Cricetulus griseus: one gene and its partners. The protein of the gene in region 1 purifies or fractionates together with the protein of each later gene. This does not show direct contact. Links are inferred from orthologs where the notes say so. Each region holds a gene or a part of one and is shown in the gene's direction. Other genes may lie near its edges.

The links. The genes of interacting proteins can lie anywhere in the genome.
Region 2: the proteins of Tgfbr1 (region 1) and Smurf2 purify together in Homo sapiens (affinity purification with western blotting; 8 studies listed by BioGRID). This does not show direct contact. The link is inferred for Cricetulus griseus from reciprocal best matches to the Homo sapiens genes TGFBR1 and SMURF2.
Region 3: the proteins of Tgfbr1 (region 1) and Smurf1 purify together in Homo sapiens (affinity purification with western blotting; 3 studies listed by BioGRID). This does not show direct contact. The link is inferred for Cricetulus griseus from reciprocal best matches to the Homo sapiens genes TGFBR1 and SMURF1.

Annotation. Positions count from the first base shown.
Region 1 is NC_048595.1:96,009,726-96,014,826, reverse strand, and holds part of Tgfbr1 (TGF-beta receptor type-1), read left to right. Parts: intron 1-756; coding exon 757-887; intron 888-3,145; coding exon 3,146-3,271; 3' UTR 3,272-5,101. UniProt on the Homo sapiens protein: Transmembrane serine/threonine kinase forming with the TGF-beta type II serine/threonine kinase receptor, TGFBR2, the non-promiscuous receptor for the TGF-beta cytokines TGFB1, TGFB2 and TGFB3.
Region 2 is NC_048600.1:119,826,713-119,832,367, reverse strand, and holds the start of Smurf2 (E3 ubiquitin-protein ligase SMURF2), read left to right. Parts: upstream 1-2,011; 5' UTR 2,012-2,026; coding exon 2,027-2,126; intron 2,127-5,655. UniProt on the Homo sapiens protein: E3 ubiquitin-protein ligase which accepts ubiquitin from an E2 ubiquitin-conjugating enzyme in the form of a thioester and then directly transfers the ubiquitin to targeted substrates.
Region 3 is NC_048597.1:81,372,481-81,378,050, reverse strand, and holds the start of Smurf1 (E3 ubiquitin-protein ligase SMURF1), read left to right. Parts: upstream 1-1,926; 5' UTR 1,927-2,190; coding exon 2,191-2,245; intron 2,246-5,570. UniProt on the Homo sapiens protein: E3 ubiquitin-protein ligase that acts as a negative regulator of BMP signaling pathway. Mediates ubiquitination and degradation of SMAD1 and SMAD5, 2 receptor-regulated SMADs specific for the BMP pathway.

The DNA of each region.
Region 1 (5,101 bases):
GAATCTGTGTGAGACTTAGAACTTGAAAGTTTGAGACAGTGATGTATAGAGTATGCTTGGTGTTATAGCATAGGACATCAGATTAACAGGCACAAGCAGAGGAAGGGACTTGTGGGATTCACATCTCCTAATAAGAGTATATCCGCATCTTCTGTCTGGTGGAGTTGTAGTCAAGAGTGTCAGCCTGGTTATCACAGCACACTAGGTTCAAAATGGCCTTGATTTCTTTTCCATTGCTGTAGTACAATGCTCCGGCAAAGGCATTCTAAGGGAGGAAGGGCCCGTGGTTCCAAGTTACAGCTACCATAGAGGGAAGTCACAGTGGCAGAAGCTTGAGGGAGCTGGTCACATGACATCCACAGTCAAGCAGCAGAGAGCAGTGAGTGCATGCTGGTGCTCGGCTTGCTTTCTCTATTTATACACTCCAGGATCCCTTGCCTATGAAGTAGTACTGCCCATAGTTAAGATGTGTCCTCCCAATCAAAATAATCCCTCACAGGCATGCCCACGGGTCTGTCTTCCAGGTGATTGGTAGATTTTGTCAAGTTGACAACACTATCCTTCACAAAAATTGCAAGCCCAGTGATGACTCAAGTAGGTGGGTTATTGATGCAGATGTGGGTGAGATACATAAATTTGTGAACCTCACTTCACCTACTGGATGTAGAGATGGGCCACAGTAATGAGCCTCTCAAGTAATCCTTCCAGTGATGTGGCAGGAGCTGATTAATTTGGATTTTGTTTTAACCAATACAGGAATTCATGAAGACTATCAGCTGCCTTATTATGATCTTGTACCTTCTGATCCATCAGTTGAAGAAATGAGAAAAGTAGTTTGTGAACAGAAGTTAAGGCCAAATATTCCCAACAGATGGCAGAGCTGTGAAGTGAGTGTTTCCTTTTGATACTAGGCTATTTACTAAACTGTTTCTACTTAGGAGGCAGAAATTTGTCACTCTTCTATAAGGAAAAATTCTTGGTTTCTTTTTCTTTTTCATAAACAAATAAGTAAAAATAGAATAATTTGTTTCTTGAGACTATAAAAAGGGCCATGAAACATTTGCAGTGGTCAGTGGTGTCTGGACATTGTTAGATCTGCCATATGAAGTCAAGTGCCTGCTGTTGAAATGAATGCCTCCCTTTAGCCAATGTAGCCCAAGCACTATGACAAACACTGGGCAAGAATGTAGAGGACTGTCAATGCAGGCTTGGGTCCTTTCAGACTCAGATGTGGGCAGGCTGCATCAGTTCTCTGGAGCTTAGCACCCTTTGTAAGGTGAGGAGCTTCAGTACGGTCTTGCAGAGCTTCAGATGTATGACCTGTATTCCTAGGATTCAGTAGGACTACTCCTCAGGAGGGAGGGAGGGGGTACTTTCCAACAGTCTGGGTACAGGTTCTATTGACAGCTGTTACTAGGATGATAGTGCAGCAGGATGTGCCTTCCAGACTTGATGTTTTGTAGATGAACTTTCAGAAAAAGAAAGAAGAGTTGGACACCTCAGAAGTTCTCCACTGACATCAGTGTGCTCCCTCAGGTGTGACTGAGTTGGTAGAGTGCAAGATTGGCATACCTGAGGTCCAGGGATTGCTCCCCAATACCACTTTAAGGCAGGGTAGTGGTACACAGGTCTTTTAGTCCAGTATTCCAGAGGTAAAAGCAGGAAGAACAGGAATTCGAACTTAACTTCAGCCAGCTTCTGGCCAACCTGGGCTTCATGAAACCCTGTCTCAAAATAGCAACAATGTTAGAGCTCTTCATGGGGCCCCAAGGAATTATACCACGGTGGTATTTTGTGATTTTAGAAGTCCCTCACGTACTTTTGTAATTTCTACAAAGTTCTACTGTTTATTGTTGGAAAAATACCAAACATAAACATTCCTAGAAAAAATGTCCAGGTAGGACACATGCCCAAATGTTAATGCATGGGGAAAGCAAGCCTAAAGAGAAAGGCTGCTTTCCTTTTCCTTAAGATTTTCTTAGAGTAAAAAAAAAAATTTGTACGACACCTCAAGCAAAATGTAATGTGTAGACCCAGAGAGGAGCAAGCTGAGTGTGTTCAGGATCTTCATGTGATAGAACTTGACAGATGAGGGTGTGCTTTGGGTAAAATTATCTCTGGGTACTTGAGAACTCGGACTTGAAGTACACACACACACACACACACACACACACACACACACACACACACACACACACACACACATATTTAATAACTGAAGCAGTTAAAGACAGATGGCCTTTAGGCAGGAAGAAATTGGTTAACATTAAGAACATGTACAGTGCACAGTTACCATTACAGTATGCTGATTAATGCCATCATTGTATGTTATTTTCTCAATATGGTTACTAGTTTTCTGTGTACTTATTGCTATTTCAAATGACTAAGCGGTTAAGAGCACTGGCTGCTCTCCCAGAAGACTGGGGTTCTGTTCCCAGCACCAACAGGGCAGCTCACAGCTGTCTGTAACTCCTCTTCCAGGGGATCTAATTCCCACATAAAGACATACTTGCAGGCAAAACACCAATGAATATAAAATAAAAATAAATTATAAAAGCCTTCATTGAAACATGTAAGAGTATGGAACTGGCTAAGCTTGCTGGCATAGGCCTCTAATCCTAGCTGATCAGGAAGCCAGCAGGAAGGTCACAAGTTCAAGTCTTGCCTGGGCTATAGAGCCAGCCTTGGTAATATAGTGATAGAGATAGTCTTTCTTGGATAAAAACCCTCAAGCCTTGTGCTGGGATGGTGGCTAACGGACTCCTAGCTGTGAAATGTTGGAGTGGACAAGTGCTGGGGTTCCAGTACTTCTTCCTACTTTCCACCCTCAGTTGTCTCTAAAGTACTTAAAAATGAGTTAAGTTCTCACCCAGTGTCTAAGGTAGCAGTGTGGGTCATTTCTTTGGCTCAGTGCTGATTCAGGATTCAGCCTTTTGAGATCTAAGAAAGCTCCCCTGTCCAAAGCCTTTCCAGCTGCTGGCATCTGGATATTGATGGAACCTTAAATCTGCATTTGCTACTACAAAGCTAGAATAGGAACCTTATACATATTTTTTTTTTTTACAAAGTCTTAGAGGGATGTTCTTCCTAGATTAATGGCAAATGGTATGTATGTATTAATTATTTTTCTTATATTTTCTTGTAGGCCTTGAGAGTGATGGCTAAAATTATGAGAGAATGTTGGTATGCCAATGGAGCAGCTAGGCTGACAGCTTTGCGAATTAAAAAAACATTGTCACAGCTCAGCCAACAGGAAGGCATCAAAATGTAACCGAAGCTTCGAGGGAACTCTGCTCTCTTCATATCTGCTCCTGGGTGTGTTTGGGAGGCCGGTTGTTCTACCTCACTGAGAACGAACGGAGGATGCTGCTTCCTCGTGCTGCAGTGGAATGTGGTTAATTGAGAGCTTCCCAGGGTTCCTCTGGGCCCAGAGGCAGCCACAGGGATCCTTTGCGTGCACTATGGATGCTTCTTCCCAGGACAGTTACAGAATGTTGTCTAGTCTACTTTTGTTTTTATTAACAAAGCTTGTTTTTAGAAGATGACTGCTGGCCCTTTAGGGAGCTGCTGTGCTGATGGTCATCCGTGAGGTGAAGGAGCTGGAGTGTCTGTCAGCTTAGATGAAGAAGCACTTGTGATTTTCACTCCTGATTAGTACATTCTCAGAGGACTCTGAACCACTAGTTTCCTTGATTCACTTTGAATGTACTGTTTTATAGTTTTTCAGGATCTTAACCTAACACCTAAAACTCTATAGTCTAAAAAAATGACCTCATGTAGGCGTGAGGGGCACAATTGATGCAGTTGTATTTATGTATGGCTCCTGCTCCTTCACACTCGGAACACAACATGCCTTCAAAGTGGGGTTGTGCTACACCAGTAAGTGCCACTTTTGCCTCTTTCTAAATGGAAATGAACAGAACTGCTTAAAGTCTGTGTTAAGTCCTGTATCATTTTCATCCAAAAAGTTTATTTTTTTGAGTAACCTAAATCTTTTCTGGGTCATTTTTGTTTTTTTAAGAGTTTGTGTGGTAGATGTCACTCAGTATTTATCTTTCTCCTACCCAAATGTGCTTGAACCACTGAGGCAATGCAGTAGCATCAATAAGCAGTCACTGGTCATGTGGGAACACCCCACATCGAGCTTTGGAGCTTTGCAGTTGAGATATGTTTTCTGAGTTTATTTTAAAAAGTAAATGGCACTCCAGATACACACAGTACTTTATGGATTTAATCATTATGTCATACAGACTCATTCTTCTGAAAGGAGAGGCTTGTCTACTGCCTTGTGCAAAGTTGTATGCTTTTCTGGAAGCCTTTTTTTTCTTTATCTGATCAAAGACTGTTTTCTTTTTGTTGTTGTTGTTGTTTTGAAACAAATTGCATTTAAAATTCAAATGTGGTTAATGTTAAATAATAGGCCTTTTCTAGGAAGACAGAGATAGTTAATTTGAATATGCAACAGTTGTACTTGACTTTCACATGTTATATAGCTGTAAGTATTTGTGGATTCTATCTTGGAAAGGGTAGAGTTAGTGGAGTTCTGAGTTTGCTACACTTTGAGGAAGGCAGCTTTTAACGTAGTCTTTTATCTCATGTGTGGATCTTGCAACTGCATTACTACATGGTGGCACTGAGTGCGGTGCCCCCTCGATACTGGGACAAGTGGTGGCTAACAGCCATTTTGAGCAGAAGCTCTCTTTTCATATCATCTTGGCCATATGAAATGTTCAAAGTCAGCCTGTTGGTCTTCTCACTGGTGCTGGAGTTAGCTGGTTAAGCCTGGGCTTTACATCAATGCTGTCAAATCTTTGCAGGGTTCATATGGCTTTCAAAGTCCTTTTTATCACTGTGATCATATTCTGAGGGGAAAATGTTATCATTGCTTGAGGCAAGATGTTGAACATAGCGAAACCAATTCCCAGATAAAAAGGTCAAAATAACCTTTAGTGTTTAGTCAAGAAGAGATTGTGACTGTTGATGCTGAAGCAGCTGCTTTCTGTTAATGTCTTATCTCAAACCTAGAATAAATTTGAAGACTATTTGGTCTTAAACCAAAGTAACTGTAGGATGAATGACATGTTACATAGTCAGTTTCATG
Region 2 (5,655 bases), on another chromosome or scaffold:
TGCCATGTTAGTGCTAGGAACTAAATCCAGGTTCTCTGGAAGAACAGCCAGTGTTCTTAGCCACTGAACTGTCCTCTCCCAACCCCTAAGTATGCTTTTCCAACCTCTGGGACAGCCATCATTTATGAGTAGGTCTGTTTGAAGGAAGACTTCTAGCAGAGGAAGTGGTTGAGTTTGGAATAGTGTCTTAGGGTTACGGTTGCTGTGATGAAACACCATGACCAAAGCAACTTGGGGAGAAAAGGGTTTATTTGTCATATGCTTCCACATCTTAATTCATCATCAAAGGAAGTCAGGACAGGAACTCAAGCGAGGGCAGGGACATGGAGGCAGGAAATGATGCAGAGGCCTTGGAAGGATGCTGCTTACTGGCTTGCTCCTCATGACCACCAGCCCGGGGGTGGTCCCACCCACAATGGATTGTGCCCTCCCCCATCAATCACGAATTAAGAAAATACCTTACAAGCTTGCCTGCAGCCCTCTCTTCTGGAGGCTTTTTTTTTTTTTTTTTTTTTGCTTTTCTTTCCCTCCCTCCCCCCTCTTTCCCCTCTCCCTTTTCTCCCACCCCCTTTCAAAACAGGGTTATTCTCTATAATTCTGGCTGTCCTGGAACTTGCTTTGTAGACCAGGCTGCCTCCTGAGTGCTGGAATTAAAGGTGTGCTCCCAGTTGAAGGCAGTTTCTTAATTGAGGTTCCTACTCTGTGATGACTTTAGCTTGTGGCAAGTTTATATAAAACTAGCCAGCACAAATAGTAACTGATAGAACAGTGTTTGGCCCCTACACAGAATACAAGGGAATTGATGTAACTAAAACAGTGTACATATATATTTTCATTTTTAAGTTGGAGAAAATAATTCATAGAAATAATGATTTAAAGCTGGGTGGTAATGGCTCATGCCTTTAATGCCAGCACTCTGGATGCAGAGGCAGGCAGCTCTCTGTGAGTTTCAGGTCAACCTGGTCTACAAAGTGAGTTCCAGGACAGCCAGGGCCACACAGAGAAACCCTGTCTTAAAAAAACAAAACAAAACAAAACATAAAACCACCACCAACAAAATAAACTGGTTTGAAATTCATAGCTGAGTGGCTGGAGAGGTGATTCAGTGGTTAAGAGCACTTGATGCTCTTTTCAAGGACTCCAGTGTGGTCCAAACTGGGAGACTCAAAAGGACGTGTAACTTCATCTCCAGCAGAATCCAATGCCCTCTTCTATAACTCTGCATGCACTTGCATGCACACATGTATAGCACATATACACATAATGAAAATGAATAAATCTAAGAAATTATGTGTAGTGAAATACTTTCAAGTAGTTCTCCAAAATGTATGTATGTGTTTAGATTTGTATTTGATACTTTTGCTTATTACAAAGTCCTATATTATCTTTTTCTTTTTTTAGAGATAGGGCCTTATGTAGACCATGTTACCCCAAACTTTTTATGTAGACTTAAACTTCAGTTCCTTCAGTCTTGGTCTCTCTAGTTCTGTGGATAGACATATACTACCGCACCTCGTTTATGTGGTGCTGGGGATGGAATCCAGGGCCCTGAATGTGCTACACAGGCTTCTGTCAATAGAGCTATAGTCTAAGCTCCTGTAATAACATGTGGCAATTCTAAACTGCTGCTGTCATGTGTCAGTGGTAAGGAATGGTGCACAGAAGCATATTTTTTGGAGCCTGGGCCAGCTTGTTGGGATTTCATTTAGAGGTGTTAAACTGGACTTCCATGTTAACTTTTTACAGTGCCAACGTAAGTTTGAAGAACGTGCAGAAAAATATGTTGGCTAAAATATTCTCTGTAACTTTTGAGTTACAGGAACAGTATTGTGAAAGTTTGTTTGTTTGGGAGCAAAGAAAAGAAGGATATCTGACTATCTCCCTCTACCCCCTTTGAACAGCTTCATTCCAGTGTGCATTGTAATTGGAATGCAACTGCAGTCTGGAGGAGGAAGGGGAATTTTTGGCAAGGATATAATGAGCAGTTGGGAGCTTTATTGAAATTAAGCACAGACAACCATTCATTATGAGTACAACTTACGAGAACAGCAGGGCATTCCATTCTGTTACCATTCTGTTACTACCGCTGGGCATTGCACTGATACTATTACAGATGCTTGTTGCAGGTAGGCAACTTCTTTCTAATAAAAAAAGAAACTAGTGACTTAACCCACAGTGTGGTAGCCGCCCTTCCACAAGTGTTTTTTCCAGTTACTACTTCAAATACATATAAAAAGATTTTTGTTGTTATTTTTGGAAAAAATTTAAAAACATTTCTTGCAAAAATAACAGAAGACATTTGTAGCCAATGTAGTGGCCTATTCCTATGATCCCAGCACTCAGGAATTTGAAGCAGGTTTATAAAAACCTGGATCTTGGTTTATAAAAAAAATATTTATTTTACTTTATGTATATGTGTGCATGTGTTGAGTGTGTGTGTGTGTGTGTGTGTGTGTGTGTGTGTGTGTGTGTGTGTAGGTATGTATGTATAGTGTGTATATGTAGAAAGCCTAGAGAGGTCAGAAAAGAGCATCAGATTTCCTGGAACTGGAGTTCAAGTAGTTATGAGGCACCTTGTGGATGATGCTGGGAACTGAATTCTGGTGCTCTGCAGGACCAGAGAGGTGCACTTATCCGCTGGTTCATTTCTCCAATCCCTAGATCTTGATTTTGAGCACAGCAGGGTTACATAAAAGGATTCTAATTTCTCCCTCAAAAAAAAAAAGGTATTTATGGTATGATAATTGAGTTGTATCTTTATCTGCAGAACCTATGATAGTACTTGGCATAAAGTGAGTACTCAGGAAATGTCAAATGAAAGAATGAAACTAGGCCTTGTGGCGCATGCCTTTAATGTTAGTACTCAGGAGGCAGAGGCAGGTAGATCTCTGAGTTTGAGGCCAGCCTAGTTTGTATGAGGAGTTAGAGGCCAGCCAAGGCAACTCAGTGAGACTGTCTCAGTAAAAAAGAATTGATTATTAATTGGTTTATTCTGTTCTCTATAAGCATATCAAGAAGGTTATACCCCTATCCATGTGAAATGTAGAGACATTATTAGCATACTATTCTATTAGTTACTTAAATCATAGCTGGGGCAGGGGCAACTTAAAGGAGGAAGGATTATTTTGGCTCTTGGTTTCTGAGATGTCAGTCTCAACATTGTATGAGGACTTAGTACAGCAGAGAAGCTCACATCATGGTGGGCCAGGAAGCAGAGCACAGGGACGGGGCATTTTGGTGGCTTTTCTTTTTTACCGCCAGTGTTCTAAGCTCATGGATTGATGCCAGCCACATCTAGTTTGATCTTTCTCCTTAATGAGTCCTCTCTAGAAACCATCTCACAAACATATACAGGTGTGCCCCACCTACTCCTAGGTAACTCTAAACCCAATAAAATTCACAATGGCGATTAACTATCATACAACTTTCCTTAATTTGGTTACCTTATTATTTCTTTAGAGGAGGTAGATGGACTAGCTAGAACAACTTTGGGAAGTACAGATTTAAGAATAGAAACACTTTGAGGAATTTGAGATGAATATTAAACATTATCAAAGTACTATAGCAGATTTAATCTGTATGCAGCTCTAGGCTCATTAGAGACATTGTCTCTAATGGACTTCAGTGGTAGTACTATAGTATTAATATGCTACATTTGTAGCTATCATTGATTAAAATTAGCACATAATTGCATAATATCTGAAGCTAGTGCAATGTGTTAATTAAAATTAGTGAAAATTTAATCAATCAGCATTTCTGTGTCCTTTGTTTATATTATTCCAATAAGAAGTTTACTAAATGTTAAAGATGGATAGGAGTAAGTCTGAACTATTGGCCCTCTCCTGCTATGTCACTCTTAACATTGTGTGTAAATGTCTCTCTTGAGAAACATTTAGAAAACAAGAATTAAACAGTCTTGGTTATATTTTACATAGTTCTGTTACCAAAAAATGATAGATTAAAAACATATATACAAATTCCTCAGAAACATACTTCCTTAGGCAAAGGTTGCATAATAATAGTTGCATAATCAGGAGTTTGTCATATTGAAATTCATGAATTCTTTGAACGGTTATGGAGTAATTCTCCCATAATTAATGTACTGAAGATGGAAAAAGCCAGAGAGCTGTGGTTCTAATCTCTGAAGTAGATTTTCAAGAAACAAGAGCAGTACAATGAAGACTAGAGAGTATGAAAATAATTTACTTATACAAGTGAATAAAATTACCATTTTCAGATCACATATTGATAATCCTCCCTTTCAGAGTTACAAATATAAGATGTTGCTTTGAAAGCATTAAACAGTATATATAAAAAGCACTTACAAAAAATCAGTTGGGGGGGGCTGGAGAGATGGCTTATCGGTTAAGAGCACTGACTGCTTTTCAAGAGGTCCTGAGTTCAATTCCCAGCAACCACATGGTGGCTCACAACCACCTTGAATGAGATCTGGTGCTCTATGATGGCATGCAGGCAGAAGACTGTATACATAATAAATAAATAAAATCTTAAAAAAAAAATCAGTTGGGGGCTGGAGGGATGGCTCTTCTGTTACTAGTGAGTCCTGAGGACCTGAATCTAGTTCCTAGTACCCACATTTGGTGGCCCAAGATTGCATGTATCTTGAGCTCCCATGGATCCAACACTCTTTAGGCCTCCATGGACACCTATTGCATGTGATGCCATAAACTCATGCAGACACACAATACACAAACAAATAAATAAAAAACATTTTAAAGCTATTTGAAGCTGATGAGATTTAGTCCCAGGAATAATAATCTGGGGCTGAGGAGAAGGCTAAAGTTGGTAAGTGCTTGCTATGTCAGCATAATAATCAGAGTTTGGATTCCTGGCACTTTAGGGGAAAAAAAAAAAAAAAAAAAACAACAACAAAAAACAGGCACAGCACACTAACCTGTAATCTTAGTTCTGGGAACTAAGCCCTAGAAATACTAGGGCTTACTGGTGTCAGCTAGTCTAGCCACATAAGTGTGCTCCATGTCCACCAAAAAATAAGGTGGATAATGAGGTAAATACCTCACTTCAACCTCTGACCTCCATCTATATGCACACAAAATAATCATTTGACAGTCCTGATGTTTCTTGCTTTAAATCTTGTTTCTTCTAGTACTCTGATTTCTCTTCTTTCCTTTCTTTTCTTCCTCTATTCAGTCAGTCAGTCAGTCAGTCAGTTTGTCTCCAGTCTCTTTCCCACCAGCCTCCTTGAGTGCTGGGATTACAGGTGTTTACTAGCACGCCCAACTTTCCTGTAGTTTCTGAATTATTTCTTCACAAATTTAGAATGTGTCCAGTTTTTATTCTTTTGAGTTTTCAGTATCATTTTAAATTTTTATTTTATGTGTATGAATATTTTGCCTGCATGTATGTTGGTGTACCATGTGTGTGCCTGGTGACTGTGGAGGCCAGATATCACACTGGGTACTTGGAACTGGAGTTACAGGTGGTTGTGGACTGCTTTGTGGGTGCAGGGAGTCGAACCTTTGCAAGAACAGCCAGCCAGTGCTCTTAACTGATAAGCCATCTCTCTGTAGCTCTCAGTTTTTTTTCTCACAGTCCTGGCTTTCCTGGAACTTGATTTGTAGACCAGGCTGACCTCAAACTCACTTAGATCTGCCTGCCTCTGCCTCCCAAGTG
Region 3 (5,570 bases), on another chromosome or scaffold:
GAGAGAGAGAGAGAGAGAGAGAGATTGGTATGAGGAGGGAATGAATATTCTGGTACATGGCAGAATACTGACCAGATTGCCAGAAGAAAGGGGGTTACTTGGGCCATTGGACACACATTGTTTTGTGTGTGTGTGTGTGTGTGTGTGTGTGATCCCCCACCTTCTTTTTTTCTTGAGACAGTCTCTGGCATGTGCTGCCATGGGGCTCCCCCGTTCACTGAGGCTAGCTAGCCAATAAGCCCCAGAGATCCTACTGTCTTTCCCTCTCCATGGCTAGGATCACTCAAACTCACCAGCACACCTTGTCCTTGAGGCTGGAGATGCTGAACAGTTAAGAACACTTGTTGTGGGGCTGGAGAAATGGCTCAGTGGTTAGAGTACCTTCTGGTGTTCCAGAAGACCCAGAATTCAATTCCCAGAACCCACATGGCAGCTCACAAGTGTCTGTGACTACTGTTCCAGGGGCTTTGACACCATTACACAGTCTTCACACTAATGCACTAAAATAAAATTAAATAAATTATGTACACAAAAGAGTATTTGTTGCTCTTCCAGAGGACCTGAGTTCAGTTCCCAGTACCCTCACATGGTAGTTCACAACCACTCGTTTCAGATCCAGCACCCTCTGATGTACATATAAACACACATGCAAAACACTCATATGTAGATTAAAAAATATCTAAAACCCCCACAAGACTCAGTTTTTCATGCTTGCACAACAAACACTTTATCAATGGAGCTATCATACCAACCCTCATCAAAGACTCTTAAATGGATTTATTCTGACCTAGGGTCTCAATCTCAATGACAGCTGCCTAGAAAATGAGACAGAGCTAGCGTCTGGATTAACTGTTGCTCATATACTGTTCCTTTTCTTAGACAATTCACTACAGCTATTTGAAACTCTGGGCTGCACAGGGTCATAGAAACAAAACAAACCACTAGGGTAAGGCCAGGTGGGTTGTGGTACAGGCTGGTAATCAGGAAGCTGAGGCAGGAGGATCACAAGTTCGAGGCCAGCTTGGTCTAAAAATGAGCCTCTGTCTCCAAAGAGGGTGGCTAAGTGCTGTGGGTAACAGGGCTAAGGAAGCCACATAAACTCTGTCTATGAAAAGAATTAGGTTCATATCAGATGTGAGTTAGGTAAACATACCCAGCCTTTTCAAGAACGTTTTATTTCCTCTCTAGAATGTGTTACCATAGAGATGGGTTTGCTTGCTGGGGAAAACACAGCTTTTACTTTTTTACCTGCCTGCCTCTCTAGGGGCGCACACGCGCGCGGGGTGTGTGTGTTTCACCCGAAGGCAGGGAATCGCAAATCCCACTGCTTACCTTCCTAGGTTAGTTTAATTGCATGCAGGTCCCTAACCACAAAACCACACACCTCTCCAGTTTACATCACTCATCTAGTTTAGCTGGTCCATATGCCTCACTTCCTGAGGGTCTAGCCACTTTGTCAATCGAATACACCAGTTGCACAGGGCACACCCGATCATTGTGGAAAGTCCTCTCTTGGAACTTGCAGGATCTAAACGTTATTTTCTCAAAAATGATATCGCGTGCCCGTGGGCGCACGCGCGCAAGGTGCTTGGGGTTTCACACAATCCTCTGGCTTCCATCAGGAAAAAGTCCGACTCTAGAAAAATAATTCGATTTCCCAAATCGTTGCACAAGCAAATCAGTTCGTTCCGAGATTGTGGCTAAGAAGTGCTCCGCGAGCGGGATGTCTGTTTCAAGAATCTCCACGGGCTGCAGAAACCTAGTAGCTCCCTGAACCTTCGCGTGCGCGCCCAGGACGAACGCTGTCGGCGTAGCGCCGTGCTCCTCGGGCGCGCGCACGCATGCACGCACGCAAGCGCGGGGCCGCGCAGGGCCGGGCCGGCACGGCGACGGGCGCGCGCAGCTCGGGAGGCGGCGGCGGAAGCAGCGAGGGCGGCGGGCGTCCGGCTGCGAGCGCGGCGGCTCCGGGCTGGCGGCCAGGGGCGGCTCCGGGCGGCGGCGCAGCCGAGCGCTCCGTCCTGCGGCTCCAGCCCGCGGCTCCCGTCCGACGCCTGCGCCGCTCACTCGGCGTCCCGGCTCGGACCCCGGCACCCCAGCCCGTGGCCGTAACCTTGAGGCGGCGGCGGGGCCGGGCCGGGCCGGCTGGGGGCGGCGGCGCTGGATCCAAGGCCGGCCGGCCGCTGGCGGGAGATGTCGAACCCCGGGACGCGTAGGAACGGCTCTAGCATCAAGATCCGTCTGACAGGTAGGCACTACAGGGCCGCGGCCCTCGCGCCCCCAGGCGGTCCCAGGGACCTCGAGGACTCCCACCCCGCCGCACCGGCCGTTGTCCCGGGACCGCCGCACCCCCCACGGCGTGCGCCCCTCGCTCCCTTTCCCGGCCCCGCCCCCCCGGCTGCTCTGCAGGCGCCGCCCCCGCCGCCCAGTACCCTCCCTCTGCATCAGGCCCCACCCCCGGCCATCAGGCCCCGCCCGCTGCGGCAGCCCCGCCCTCTTGCATCTAGCCCCGCCCCTATTGATCCGCAGATCCTCCCCCTTTCGTAACCAGGTTCAGCCCTCGACTGTTCTGCAGACTCCCGCCCCCTCCCCCCACAGGCTCCACCTCTTTACTTTGTAGCCTTGGTGCCCCGCCCTCTGGCTCCTCCCTCTGCATTATTCCCCGCCTGCTAATTTCTCTGCAGTTGGTTTTTTCTGCTTCAAGCCCTACTTGCTGTTCATCCTTCTGTCGGGCTCCACCCCCAACCCCCGCTGATCCTCGGTAGGTACTGCCTCCGGCTCCTCCCTCTTTATCAGGTCCTCCCCTCACCGTTCACACTCTGCCCACACCTACCGTCATTTGCATATGGGCCCCGCCCCCTAACTGCCTCCCTCTGCCCCTAACCTTACCCCTCTGCTTCAGGTCCCGCCCCCTAGCTCCCCTCTCCAGGACCATCCCCTAGCTCTCCTTTCTGCCCTACCCCTACCCTCAGCTGCATAGAGGTCCCGCCCCTCGGGGTCCCCCACCGGCTCTCTTGTGACCCTCTCTATATCCTGCCCCAGGCACCCTCTGTCCCACATCTGCCCCTCCCTGCTCTTCTCCAGGCCTTGTGCCTGGCTCCCTCAGCTCCACACCCACTTTCAACTTCATGTAGGTCCCGCCCCCTCGCTGCACCTTTTGCTCTTCCCACCCTCACCTCAGATTTTCATCATCCATTTCTTCACTCACCATCCTCCTACCTGCTATCCCTCTCTAGTCCCACACCTTACTACCCTCCCACCTGTCTGCTGTCTTTTTCCCTTGTAGCTTCTCATCTCTTCGCCTCCTTTCTTCCTTCACCACTGTGTTCTCTGACCTTCTCACTTCTCCCTCCTGGTATCCCGAGAATCGCCCCCCCCCCCCCCACTGGCCTGCTTTGATCCTCTCTTTGCTCTCCTACCTCCTCACTCCCTCCCCATCTCCATCTTTCTAGGGGCCTTCCCCCCTCTTGGCCCCGCCCCCTCCGCTGCCCAAGCCCCTCCCCTTGTTTCTGTCTGATCCCGCCCTCGATTATCTTTCAGTCCCGCCCCCTCGCTTCTGTCTTACAGCCTCCACCCTTGAGTCGCAAATTCCTCAAGCCTGTCTGGGACCAAACGTCTGTCTCCCAGACTTGTTCTCACTCCCCCCCACCTCTTCAATGGTCCAGACCTCTCCAGTCTAGTCCACTTCCGTTCTCCCTGAGGCCTGGCCACTTAGCACTGCAGAGTCCCGGTCTTCGGTTCCTACCTCCTCTGCAGTGCCTTCGCCAACATCCCCCTCAGTGCCACATGCTTGAGTCCCTGTTGTGGCGCGATCCCCCACTCCCACACAAGCTGAGCTGTGGCAGCTGCTCCAGCACAGGTTCCTTGTTCCACTCCGAGTCTTCAGAGGAATTTTCAGGTTTCCTAGGTGCTCTGTAGTGCCACCTTCAAGGGTGAGCGCAAAGCTTGCTCTGGGTCTGACAGCAACAGTATTGTTTGCATAGAGGGAGAGGCGAGCTCTCTGTCATAGCTGCCCCACTTCATGGGTCCAGAGTCTGGACCACTGCCCCTGGTTTCCTCTTCCTTTCTCCCTCTCCTTTTCCTGCAGAGACCTTACCAGTTTGAATCCATCTCTAAAGCTGCATGGCAGGGCTGGCATAGGGCCTGCTCTGGGGCTTTCTAGCTCAGAAAAGGAAATAAACACTAAGTCTAAGGCCTTTCAGGGATTTCCCTGGATTTTTCTGTTCTGAGGCAGTGTGGTCAGAACTAAGGCTCTCTGCTTGTCCTTTTGGACTGAGCCTTTGGGTAAGGGCTGTGATCATGGTGGTATCTTCCCTGCCACGGTGGAAATTCTTGGAAAGTTTGTAGCCGATGAGTGTTCTGTTTAAGAAAAGATTGACATTTTTTTCTCTGGTGATGTCAGGTCAGATAATGATTTTTGAACTAGAACCCAGACCCTGGTCTTGTTGGACATCTTTGCCCCTGGACAAACAGCAGGTGACTGGAGAGAACTCTCACTGGGTGAATGTAGTGTATGACACTGTGTTGGCTGTTACTTTAGAAAGTTAGATTCTTTGCCAGTCATCCTTGTGAAAGTTTGCTCACTGGCACTGGGCCCTGATTTTAGTGATAATCCACATTGGTTTCAGCCTTCCTGTTAAATTGATGGACTTGGGGAGTTTTAGTCGAAATGAGATCAGTGGCGTTTGTGTCAGCTGTCTATTAACAGATCCTAGAGAACCAGGAAAGGGAGGCTTTCCCGGTCTGATTTTGGTGTTGAAGACTGAGGAGGCTCCAGAGTTTTTGGGTGGCCTTTGATGGGAAGGACCAGGGATGGGTGTCATCAATTGGTCTGAAAGAAGCTCTGAGTGTGCTCATAGGATTGGGAGTTGGTGGCAATATGTGGTGACAACTGTGTGAAAATCTTGGAGCCAGCCATTTTATTGAAGATGAGGTAGGTTTTGCCTTCATCTTTATACTGTTACAGGAAATGAGAATGGTGGGTAGCAATCTCTCTAAAGTTAAATATTGTTATGGTGTTTCAGCATTTATTATGTATTTGTATTTTGGGAAAATGACTTTTTAAAAATGAGAGCTATTGGGACTGGGGAGATGGCTCAGTCAGGAAAGTGCTTGACTGGCAAGCATAGGACTTGAGCTGGACCCCCAGCACCCACTGAAAAATTGAATGTGGCTGGCAGTGGTAGCTGGAGCCTCAATAGGTGAAAGGCCCGGTCTCAAAAAATAAGTGGATGGCTCCTGAGGAACAGCACCTGATATTAACCTCTGGCCTGCGTGCACACTTACGTGTCCCTGAATGTACACAAACCTGAATACATAAATAGAATTAAAAAAAAAAAAAAGAGGGCTGTTGTAACCTTGCAATGAAAAACACAGAACATCACACAGGCACTGGAGTGGTTAATGAGCATTGAGAACTTTGGGGTCTACAGTTGGCTTTGGGGAACAGAGCCTGTCAGATCAAGGTGCTTGGATCAGCCAGACTAGCAGTTCCTGACGTGCAGCCAATTAATTACCTTCTAGGGTCTTAGTTTCCTCTTTTTGATGAGACTTCAGCCCTGTAATAAACATCT